Linked DNA regions of Coturnix japonica. The protein of the gene in region 1 binds, or shares a complex with, the protein of each later gene. Links are inferred from orthologs where the notes say so. Each region holds a gene or a part of one and is shown on either strand. Other genes may lie near its edges. The genes, in order: CDC42, CRK and IQGAP2.

What was found.
Region 2: CDC42 (region 1) and CRK share a complex: the UniProt entries of both Homo sapiens proteins name them as parts of the collagen stimulated complex. The link is inferred for Coturnix japonica from reciprocal best matches to the Homo sapiens genes CDC42 and CRK.
Region 3: the proteins of CDC42 (region 1) and IQGAP2 are in contact, whole or in part, in a crystal structure (PDB 5CJP), measured with the Homo sapiens proteins. The link is inferred for Coturnix japonica from reciprocal best matches to the Homo sapiens genes CDC42 and IQGAP2. Residues at the interface, in NP_001034891.1 of Homo sapiens: Gly12, Ala13, Ile21, Thr25, Asn26, Lys27, Phe28, Pro29, Ser30, Glu31, Tyr32, Val33, Pro34, Val36, Phe37, Asp38, Tyr40, Phe56, Tyr64, Leu70, Gln74, Gln116, Leu119, Asp122, Pro123, Ser124, Thr125, Glu127, Lys128, Lys131; in NP_006624.3 of Homo sapiens: Gln893, Thr894, Asn924, Tyr925, Ser927, Asn928, Gln929, Arg930, Glu931, Glu932, Arg976, Gly977, Asn979, Gln983, Asp1067, Leu1068, Leu1069, Pro1070, Tyr1071, Lys1191, Phe1192, Asn1193, Lys1196, Tyr1197, Leu1200, Val1201, Thr1202, Val1203, Ser1204, Lys1205.

Annotation. Positions count from the first base shown.
Region 1 is NC_029536.1:5,530,743-5,534,721, forward strand, and holds the start of CDC42 (cell division control protein 42 homolog), read right to left. Parts: upstream 2,801-3,979; 5' UTR 2,677-2,800; intron 1-2,676. UniProt on the Homo sapiens protein: Plasma membrane-associated small GTPase which cycles between an active GTP-bound and an inactive GDP-bound state. In active state binds to a variety of effector proteins to regulate cellular responses. Involved in epithelial cell polarization processes.
Region 2 is NC_029534.1:3,973,264-3,977,514, forward strand, and holds the start of CRK (adapter molecule crk), read left to right. Parts: upstream 1-1,311; 5' UTR 1,312-1,440; coding exon 1,441-1,684; intron 1,685-4,251. UniProt on the Homo sapiens protein: Involved in cell branching and adhesion mediated by BCAR1-CRK-RAPGEF1 signaling and activation of RAP1.
Region 3 is NC_029547.1:21,513,993-21,517,660, forward strand, and holds part of IQGAP2 (ras GTPase-activating-like protein IQGAP2), read right to left. Parts: intron 3,184-3,668; coding exon 3,116-3,183; intron 2,757-3,115; coding exon 2,643-2,756; intron 67-2,642; coding exon 1-66. UniProt on the Homo sapiens protein: Binds to activated CDC42 and RAC1 but does not seem to stimulate their GTPase activity. Associates with calmodulin.

The DNA.
Region 1 (3,979 bases):
GTCTCTATCATTTTGAAGTAACTTGTTTTCTGGATGAGCTGCTATGAATTACCAAGGGAGAAGCTCAAGGTGTCACCTCAAAAAGCAGCTCTTAGACTGATATATGCTATGCTTAATGCAACTTAAGAACTGACAGCTACCACACTATTCAGCAGGGCTCGTCACAACAAGCTGATAAGTGCAGACATACACAAGATAGGAAGTGAATGCAGCTGAGTGGGAGAATTTTAGAAGTCTGAGCTTAAAGCACTGCCAACATAACACCTTTTAAGTCCTACTACTTAAAAGAAATGAAAGAGTCAACAGCCATTGCACAGCCCTACATTCAAAACAAGCCTGGTCAAGCAGAGCGTGACTCAGTGGGCACAGCACAGCAAGGTTCCCATCTGCTCACTGCTCGGACCTCAAAGGAACCACCTTCACATGGACTCAAAGAAGAAGGCAGAAGTCATCCCACATTAAACCCTGAGAAGCACGGCTGCTTATCCCAGCTCCCCTCCCTATAGCCAGACACATTTAGAAGCACTACAGCTGACACTGGCAGCAGCACAGTGAGCACTTTTGCATAAGGGCAGCCACCCTGTGCACATCAGCTGCAGCACCCAGTGCATGGCTCAGCTGCTGGTGCTCCATGCGTAGGAACTGCCCCAACACTGTCTGCAGGAAGCAGCGTGCTTATCTCAGGCCTATCAATATCACTGCTGATAAAGGGATTATACTTTGTTGGGAATGATGTTCCAGAAGAGATTTCTCATTGATGCTTTCCACTCCACATTAAAGGAACTTGGATCAGAACCCATGGACACATGCATTCCAGCATAACGGGGTGACAGGAGCCATGGTCAAAGCCTACAGTGCACTAAGTGTGTAAGCAGAGCTCCTGCTACATACTAGAAACCCATATCGCTTCCTTTTAATGCAACAGCACCTCCATATCTGTTGGTTTTTCATCAGAAACTGAGTATTAAGTGTGAGGATAATTACAACCCCTATATACCAACACTCCTGAATTGGAGTAGGTTGACATTCATCATCATGCCTATGGATGGAGCCAAAGCTGGGCTGGCCACAGCAAGCAAGGACTGAGGGGCTGCAGTGTGCAAGGCTGTAGGTGACTTAAAAGCTGCATCTAAAGACACTTCTGGTACTGCAAGCGTGTTTTATCCTGCAGCTTTTATTCCTCAGCAAGGCTTTAAAATGCTTTGCGTCCTTATTACTGCAGCATATAAGCAGTAAACAGACCGAACAAAGAGTCGTTTCACAACTAACAATATTAAACACATTAACATATTGATTCATTCATGCGTTACCTGCTTCGGATGAAGACTTGCCTACACTCCACCCCATCATCTCACTCATTTCCAAGCCAGAACAACACATTTTCCACATATAAACACCTGAATACAAAGCCTTTCTATCTAAACTTGTTCCTGTGCAACAGAGCCAAGCTCCAAGTGCTTTACTGACTTACTCCCATTAGAAACACTAGAAACTTAACCTGGGTTTTAATTATTCCTCTAAAAAAAGGCCATTTGGGGTGCTCCAATGGAACACTTTGAATAAAGCCAGCATCTCTTTCACAGGCTGCCCAGGGAGGTTGTGGATGCCCCGTCCTTGGAAGTGTTCAAGCCCAGGTTGGATGGAGCCCTGGGCAACCTGATCTATGGGGTCTCCTGGGCAACCTGATCTAGTAAATGTGTATGTTTGGTGGCCCTGCCAGGCAGGGGGGGTGGAACTACATGACCCTTGAGGTCCCTTCCAATCCAGGTCATTCTGTGATTCTGTGATTCTCTTTCTTTATGGTAGAAGTAATACAAACAGATGCAATCACAGACTGAACTACTTTGGCCTGCACGTCTATCACAGCCTCTCATCCAGGCCTTGCCTTCATGGTGCTCAGTCTATATGGTTAGATAGCAGTGCTGGCTCTGCAGCCTGCAGGCAGATGGGGCAGGTACCATCCTTATCTCCCCCAAGCACAGATTCCACACACACCTGGGCCACCACCACCATCAGCTTACAAGAAAAGCTACTATGAAAGGGGCCACACTATATTTCATCTCAGAGAGCTCAAAGATGGAAGAGAAATCCCCCCCCACATCAACCCTCCAAGCACAGCAGCCAACAACCAGCCATATACATCAACGGGACGGCGGATGACCCAGCACCTGGGCGAGACAAAAGCCGGGCAGCGCCTCCCAGCTCTTTATAGGGAGAAGGAGGAGAGGGAAGGGAAGGAAAGGAAACGTTCGGCGGTTCCTAAAGCAAAGCCCACACCCCAACTGCGCCTCGGAACTACTTCAGAGCTGGGCGGCGCTCCCGGAAGAAGCACAGGCCCAACCTGCGGCACCGACCTCCGGCTTCCCCTCCTCCCTTGCGGGGCTCACAACCCGCAGGGCCCAGCGCTCCGTGCCGGGCGGGGGGCAGGACGAGGAGGAGGCCGAGCTGGGCCGCGTAGGCCGCGCTCCCCCCCATACACACACACACACACACACACACCTCAGCCCCGCTCTGCGCCAACAGCCCCAACCCAGCGGCGGGGAGGCCCCACACACACACAGCCCGCACCCACACGGTCCCGGTTCTCCGCCCCCGCTGTGTGATGGCGGTACAGAGGCGCGGTGCAGCCCGCACACCCGCCCGCCGCTCCCGCCCCGCTCCGCCGCGGCCGCTCACCTCAGAGTCTCCGCCGGGCGTTGGCGGCTCGCTGCGGGGTCTCCTCGGCTTCAGGCGCAGGGGCACGCTGCGGGTGACGTCATCGCGTAGCGCTGGGAGGGGGGACGCTGCGGGTGACGTCATCGCGTATTGAACGAGAAGGCGGAGCGCGCTTCCGGTTTGCTCAGTCGAGGCCTGTGCGGCCGGTTGGGTCGGAGGGGCGATAAGGCCGCTATGTGGGTCACCAGCAGGGTTAGTTAGAGCCCAGGCCTCTCCCAGCCGCTGTTTGGTGCCTTGTTCCTAATGCAACTCCCACCCTATGGACCCAAAACTGCATTAGGGGCAGGCTAAGCCAAGAAGAGGCAGCCAATAGGCCAGAGGCACTTAGGGACCCCCCCCATAAGCTTTATCAGGGACCCCCCATAAGCTTTAATAGAGACCCCCCATAAGCTTTATCAGGGACCCCCCCCATAAGCTTTATTAGGGACCCCTCCATTAGCTTTATTAGAGACCCCTCCATAAGCTTTATCAGGGACCCCCCCATAAGCTTTAATAGAGACCCCGCCATAAGCTTTAATAGAGACCCCTCCATAAGCTTTAATAGAAACCCCTCCATAAGCTTTAATAGAGACCCCTCCATTAGCTTTAATAGAGGCCCTTCCATAAGCTTTGTGAGGGACCCCACACATAAGAAACCACAAGCAGAGGCAGCAGCCATCACCCCAATCCTTTGTACATCAGCTTACAGTTCTTAATGATGGGAAACAGATAAAACTGGGGCAGGAACACCTTCCTCCCAGAGAAGCATAAATCACAGGTCTCCGATGTTGCTGTAATTAGCACTACAGCCCATGCAGTAATTAACTTTCTCCCATTCAGATTTAATAACATGCAGTAAAATAAGACCTGGGGTGATAACACATGCAGGGGGGGAAGCACCCTATCAAATGAGGCACTTGTGACTTGATAAGGAATTAATTATAGCCTGGCCTAATAATAACAACACATTGCTTTTAATTTGCCCAGTGCTCTGAGTGAGGGAGGGTGCGCTGGGAAAAGCTTCTTCCTAAATCCTACAATGACTCTGAGAAGATTTCGGTCAGCCAGAGTGAAGCTCCGCAGGATGGGGCTGGGCTGATGGCAGCGCTGTAACAAAAGCCTTGTGGGCAGATAAGATGCAGATGAGCTGAGGGAGAATCCAGGGCTGCAGCATCCCCATCTTCAGGTCTCAAGCCAGGCACCAAAACCCCTTCTTCTGCTGCAGGGCATGGGTCAGGAGGAGAACTACTTGGTCTAAGGTGAACAAATCCACACTAGAAAGGGA
Region 2 (4,251 bases), on another chromosome or scaffold:
TTATAACTGCAGCCTCCCACCTGTAAGATAGAATATTTTTCCATTGGGATACTGTGAAGGTTCATACAAAACACAATACCAAAGCCACTCCATGAGACAGTCACAGGGCTTCCCAATGCCTCACAAGAAAGCAAAGGTGCTGTGAGCCAGCACATGCACTTGCACAGTTAAGGGCAGCTGTGCTCCATGTTTATGCAAGTGCTGCCACATGGAGGCCACACAGTTGAAAATACACATTCCTTTGGGGGAAAAAAAAAAGCTTATAGAATTGAGCAGAGCTGGAATGGAATTGTCTATGCAGTTATCCAGACTCTGAAGATGTTACTCTGGAACTTGAAGCTAATCTAAACTTGGTACCTATTTCTCCATCCTTATAATTCTTAATGGTGCATACACCCACATGCACATTCCCCTGCAGCAGAAATGGAAGTGAAGCAACTTTATCTGCAGGCTCCTGCGGTCAGTGATCTTCTCAGGGTCAGAAACAGCTTGTTTTTCCACAGGGCTCTACTTAACACAGAACATCTCCCTGGGAAGGGTTTTCCAGTGGTTTTCCATGCAAACAGCTGTGAGGCAGGAAAATGCAGCTGGCTGGGAAGGTGAAAGCACCAACTGCAGGTGGCAGCTTCTCTCTGAAGGAAAAAAGACAATGAATTGAATCCTCAATGGAGGGACAGGAAGATGATCAGGGGCTGGAGCACCTCCCCTCTGAGGACAGGCTGAGGGAGTTGGGTTTGTTCAGCCTGGAGAAGAGAAGGTTGCGGGGTGACCTCATTGCAGCCTTTCAATACCTGAAGGGAACCTATAACCAGGAGGGGAGTAAACTCTTGGAAAGGGCTGACAATAGCAGGACACGGGGAAATGGTTTGAAGTTAAAAGAGGGAAGATTTAGGTTGGATGTCAGGGGGAAGTTCTTCACTAGGAGAGTGGTGAGGCCCTGGAACAGGCTGCCCAGGGAGGTTGTGGATGCCCCGTCCTTGGAGGTGTTCAAGGCCAGGTTGGACGGGGCCATGGGCAACCTGATCTAGTAAAGGTGTATGTTTGGTGGCCCTGCCAGGCAGGGGGTTGGAACTACATGATCCTTGAGGTCCCTTCCAACCCGGGTCATTCTGTGATCCTGTGGGTGCCCAGACGGACCCTCCGCACTCACAATCAGGTCTCACCTACAAGGCAGCACACACACAGCTCCCCTCAGACCCTGCGCTCCACCCAACGCGCATGCGCAGCCCCCACAGGCCGCCAACCGTCCCCAAGGCCGCGCGTTGTGATGACGTCACGTATCCCCCCGCGTCTCCCGCGTGCGGTCACTTCCGGTAGGTGAGGTCAGGGTAGGGGCCGCCATTTTGGTGCGGTAGGGCTGGGCGCGGAGCTGGGCACCGCGGGCGGCGGCGGCCCGCGGGGCGGGGGCAGCGAGTGCGGCCTGCGGGCGGGACGGCCCCCATGGCCGGGCAGTTCGACTCCGAGGACCGGGGGAGCTGGTACTGGGGGCGGCTGAGCCGGGCCGAGGCGGTGTCGTTGCTTCAGGGGCAGCGCCACGGGACCTTCCTGGTGCGAGACTCGGGCACCATCCCCGGAGACTTCGTCCTGTCGGTGTCTGAGAGCTCCCGCGTGTCGCACTACATCGTCAACAGCCTGGGGCCGGCGGGAGGACGAAGGGCCGGCGGAGAGGGCCCCGGGACCCCGGGTGAGTGACCCCCAGGGCTGGCCGTGCCCATCAGCCGCTGCGGGCCCCGCTCTGCGCCTGGTCCCTGCAGCTCCGCTCTGCTCACGGCCGGGTCTGAGAGTCGTGGTGGAGTCGTGTTGTGTTGGAGTCGTGTTGCTCTTTGTAGAGGACTTAATTCAATCTCGCCTTGCAGCCGTTTCCCTGCACCTGCCTCGCATCTAAACGATGGGACAGAGCGCAGCCCGGAGCCGTCACACTTTTACAGCTTTATGCCTTCTTTCGTTTTGTTTTAATTTGTGGGTGAGGTGTGTCAGCGTGGAGATGGATCCCTGGAAGTGTCAATTCAAAGGTTGAATTGGGTTGGAATAGTTGAGAGTTAAGAGGACAGATTGTGAGGCTAAACTTAGTCGTGAATCAAAGCTGGGTGGGAGCAGTGTAAAGGCGTTTGTTCCTTTAGATCAGATACGGAATTCAGGGTTCCCCCTCCTACACACACCTTGTGTTGTAAAGGGAGATTTGATGTTATTCCTCATCAACCTCTAATACAAACATAATGTACTTAAGTTAACCCTTGAAGTGTTGCTTTTGCATTGCAGAAAGCAATGATTCTGAACGCACAAGTGACCTGGAGCCTTCAGCAATGTATAATCTATCGATGTGTGATGAGAAGGTTGAATTAAGCAGCAGCCCTGATGGGGGCATTGCTGATGTTGGCGGTGGAGCCGCTCCTGTCTGGATGTTAATGCTCACAGAATGATGTGGGCGAATTGCTGGCATCTCTGAGAAACCACTACAAAGTCTGGAAGGCTGTATAATAAGGCTGTGTAATAGGAGAGCTAATGAACCTGACGAGGAGTGAAGTTAGGACATAGGTTGCTACAGAGACAGAAAGGCTGTGCAGACTGTAGTTGATAAAGAAGGAATCTGTTGGTGGTGGGTGGGTTTGCACCATTCTACAGTGATCTCTCCTGATTGGGGTAACGTTTAGAATTGACAAACTGGGGAAAGCCTGAAGTCATTGGGTTCATCACAGGAATCTGCCGCTGCTGTAAGGTGTGCTTCAGTCACACAAAGCTCTGCAATGCAGGAGATAAAGGTGGCTGCATTGAACTGGAAGCGAAGCGGGTAGTGAAGTGGTTTACCACAAGATACATTCGGTTCCTCAGCGTTTCATGTCTTATCAAGGCAAAGGTTTATTTTCATAGGTTGATGTGTGAAACGTGTGGTTGTTACACAGAGCAGAATAAGCTTCTATGGTGATTTGTAGTGGAGTCCATCCTGAGCTTTATTACTTTTTGGAAGTCCACTTTTTCCCCACCTTGATGTTATTGGAATAGGTGCTGCTTTGCTTTCACACCAAAGGTATTTTTGTGCTGAAATTCAAGTGGGTTTAAATGAATGTCATGCTGATGCTGTGCGCTTTTCACGCTCAAAGGAAGAAAGTGTGTGTGTAGTAAGTTACGTTTAACCTGTAATTAAGAATTTCCTCCAGGGAGAAATGTTCTTTAAAGGAAGGGACGTGCTATTATTGCTATAAGGTTGAAGATGATTTCAGGTTTGGATGGGGAAGGTAGTGCAGTGAAATGAGGTAAATGTTCACAAGTAGCTATTTTGGAAAAACCAACTTTACCATGTCAGTTTTCTATATGGTCTACTTATTTTTATTGCAATTGATTGTTTGACAGATGCACACAACTCACTGGAAAGCCTAAATATGCCCGGTCAGGTTCCTGTGTTGATTTATTGGCTTCAGGTGATTGAAATGCATGTGTGATTTGTGACTGCTTGTACCCTGCTGTGTGCAGGTGACAGTAGGAACCTGACTTTAAACCCATCACGTCTTTGCAGTTTGACATACAAGGATAGGGCCGTGATGTCTGGTGTACACTCAAACATCTAAAGACATCAGGCCAGAAGCCTGAAAGCCTTAACGTTTTTCTTTATGACATAGAGAAGTGTGACAGAGTGGAAGGTGATGTTTTCAGTAAGTATTATGCGTCTTAAGAACGTGCTTATTGCGCTCCATTGTGATTTTCTGAAGGATTCAGGCTGCACTTCCTGGACTCATGTTTTTATAGAGCATTCCTGAGTGCTTGTCTCAGTAGTGAGCAGACAGGCACTGAAGAACAAGGAGAAGAAGGTGTCGGAATGAAGGTGGGGGAAACAGGCAGAAGGTTTTGCCTCTGTTGCAGAGTTGCTCTAGGAGGAAGGCTGTGATATGTTGCTGTGATGTGTTCAGAGTGAGAGCCTCGTGTCTCAGCACCCTGAACACCAAGAACAGCCTTTCTTTCCCCAAATGTGCTTTTGAAGATGGGGGTAGGGGTTTGTGGGGTGTGTCTAGAGATGAAATTGAAAACCTATATTCCTGTTAAGTCTCCCATGCCCTAAAAAGGAAAGCTTACCAAAGCTTAGGGATAAAGAGAAAACTGCCTAGTGGCACGGACGGGATGGGAGTGAAGAGAGAAATGTGAAACCCTTGAGGGTCTGATGAAGCGCAAAGCTGCTCTGTGGTTATGCCACCTGCCCACGCTCCCAAAAAGAATGTTAGATGTTTTATTTAACACCTCTGTGAATGATCTTTTCCACAC
Region 3 (3,668 bases), on another chromosome or scaffold:
TTGCAAGGGTTTGCTCAGCTATTCCCTTCTCAATAGCTTCGTTAATTGCTATCACTGCAGCATGCACTAGAAGTATAAACCAAGATTTTAGGAAGCAATTAGAACATTCAAATCATTCCTTGACCTTGGTCTTCATTTTAAAAGGAATAAACTGATAACATGCTGTTGACAACAGAAATACAAATCCCTTCAGTAATGGTGGGAAATCACTAATTAACCAGAATTCACTTAGCTTTTGTAGCAAGACAATGAAATACCTCCATTAGATACAGAAGTAGCAGTAAAAGCATCCAAGAACAGTGCGCATGTATGACTATGAGATTAACTGCACCTTGTCCAACTTTGTCCAGCTCTAGACCATTCAGTCAGTTGTTGCATGCAAGTTCTGTTCCTTCAGGTCAGTACCATGTTCTAATTTATTTGAAATAATGGTTTAATACGCGTAAGATAATATAAACTTTCCACTTGTTTCCCCAGGCAGCAGCAACAAATGTACTCTATTTACTCAAAGGCAGCTTTAGTAGCATTATGACCACTATCTGTTCCTAGTTTTTGTCTCCCAACTAGGGGCTGCTGTTTGGTGACAGTATAAACATGAGTTGAGTTTTGTTATTCAAGTTCCATGTCATTTTGAAGGCAATTACATGCAGCAAAAGTATTTTCAGTCACTTCCCTTAGTTAAAGCTCCTTTGTGTCTGTACAGCAACACTTACATGATGAGTACATATGATGCTTTGGGACATAGCTTAGCAGTGGACTTGTTATGTGGATGGTTGGATTTCATGATAGCAAAAGTATTCTCCAAAACCTAAATGATTATATGACTACTTAAAAATATTGTTTAAAATAATTGTTACTGAAAGATTTTATGCAGGAAAAAGAAAATTCAAATAGTGAAATCTGTTACCTAGAAAATACAGCTAAGACTCCCCAATTGGGGCACAACCCTAAATGCCATGTCTAAAACTGTCCAAGATGATAATTCTCCTTTCTTTATTGAGGATCTCCATGAGAACTGGGGAAGACAGTGTCACTAACAAAATGTCTCCCTACTCCCATACCCTGCAAATCTGCAAGCTACAAATAGAAAAGTGTTCCCCAGCCGTTAGTTGCTATGAAATCGTTTTCTCTAGCTCAAGTCAGTACAACATTCTCTTCTAATGATAAGCAGCTGGCACAGGGATGTGGAGAGTCACACTGTTTTCTTCAACATTCAGCTTTATAAAAACCAAGGTCTGCCTGAAGGGGCAAAGTGAAGATGTGTAAGCCCCTGCATCTGCATCTAAAAATACACAGAAAGGATGTAATCTCTCACAGTATTGTATAAGAGGTACCTCTGACATAAGTGGAGCCAGCAACAAGTGGACAACAGATAGTAAAAAGATTAGGAAAGCTGTGAACTTGTGCTGGTGGATGTTGTAAGCCAAGAGAAACAATGAGAAATGTGACCGGACAAAATATGGTTATTTAGAAAAATAGTCAGTTTTGAGAGTACTTAAGTTTACTCTTTGCATGCTGATTTGTACTAATACTGACAGCATAGCAAAAGTCATCAGTTGTTGTTTCACTTCCTATTTCTATTTTGCTCACTCCATTTCAGAAGCAGGCTGATAGCCCTCCTGTAGCAGGATCTCCACATCAATTCTCATTGATGCATGAGGGTTCCCACAGCAGATATTTCCTGTTCTGGGGCAGGGCACATTACTGACAGCACAGTCCCTGCCTAAAGAGACAGAACCAGCATCAGGAAACCCTGATTTTCTATAAAAGGCTGAAAACTCTTCCAAAGTTGAAGGAAACTATATACACACACTATAAAAAGCTTTCAGAACCAGAAAAGGAAGTTGCAGTCCTTTCATCATAAGGGAAGGAAGGAAGCTTACTGGAAAAAAGTGTTTTATCATCACTAAATCTCTGAAAGTTTGCTAAAAAAAAAAAAAAGGTCAATCAGAAAAACAAAGCTTACTTCAAAAAAGAGTATTTTAAGATCTGGCTTTGCACAAGTCTACACAGCATTCAGCTGCAGCAAGCTGCAAAATACGTGACAAGGTAAATCAACACAAGAGAAGCACGCTTTACGTTCATATCTGGAAACTTCAGCACACTAAATCACAAATAAATCTGTTTCAATTATTCTGCATTGTAAAGTTTAGGAAAGCTGCACTGGTACTTAATTACATTAAGTAATGTGTTCTGTCATTGCTTTGTTTTTCCTCCACTCAGTCTGCTCCTTTTCTGTATTGATACTTTTAAATTTCACTACATATGCTGTCTTGAGTAGCCCGTTGCAACTTTTCTGGTGTAGAGTCACCCACAAATCTCACTTCTTCATTCTAAAGAAGCACTAGGTACCAAAACTATAAACACACACAAGAGATAGAAAGAAGTCTTTGTTTCTGATAGTGCTTCCTAAAAATGCAATAGACTGCATAAAACTATCTTCTGCTCAATAATGCAGATGGGCAAATAGAAAAAAGATCTTGTAACAGTTACAAAATGTGATGGTCAATGAACAGTTGACTGCATTTCTAATCGCTTATCAAAAGATGATGTTCAAGAGATAGATGAATAAAAATAGTATTTTGTTGGCATCCTTTCAGTTTATTCAGTAGAAAACAGAACCAAAAGAGGTGTTTACTTACATGCAGCTTCATCAACTGATAATTCACTGGCCAGAATCCCACCAATTTTACTAAAAGACGGCATCTGTATGCCATACTTCTCCAGCTCCTTTCGCATGTTGCTGATTTCTTCCTCTGTTCAGGTAGGAAAGAAATCATTAGAACAAAATCTGAATAACTCCATTGTGAATCATCGTATCTAGTGCAATTTTATTTTATTGAAAGCAAATGTGATCAGGGATCCTCAGCAGCTTTTTTCCCCGTTTTGAAAGAAAGTATCTAAGATATGACAAGTATTCTATACAAATTCACTCGCTTCTGCCCTTCAAAAACATGTATTTATTAAAAATAGCACCCTCCCACATATTTAATTAGGAGCTGCTCCGTACAACCCTAAGGGAGGAGAAAGACTGTAATGGAAAATATGTACAATGTTAGCAGATTTACTGCATGAAGGAGTTACGTAGGACATGATTAGATAAGCAGTTCGTTACCTGTGAAGTCTACTTTTCCCAGTAGGTCCTGAATTTGTGGTGCTAATCCTAGTTTGAACAGATATAAACTACAAAGAAGAATAACAAGCATTAGAAAACATTGATGTGTTCATTTTCTATTCAACAGTGTATAACTGCCACTGTGAAGGTTGTCCTTCAACATTTCTCTTTCATGGAGGGCTACAGAACAAATTTGTCTTTTTGCTGTATTTTATGTATAATAGATATTTTTTACTTGCAGTTTCAAAGAAAGATCTGTAAGACATACTGTCATTTTGTCTCAGATCACAGAGGAAGTGTGAACACGTAATTACTTTCCACTGAGGGTTTCTAAAGAAGTTCAAGAGTTAATACGGTCAAGAATAATATATGAATGTACTTTAGCAGAGCTAAAGACCCATAGCTTTGGGTCTATAGTTCTTTTGACTTGAATTCTTATACACTTACAATTAGTAGCTGAAGGCACACAATTTACCGACAGCCTTCTTACTAAGTGTAGAGGAATATGCTCCTAGCCCCTCTCAAGTATATTTCTGTCATGAAGCAATTTGCT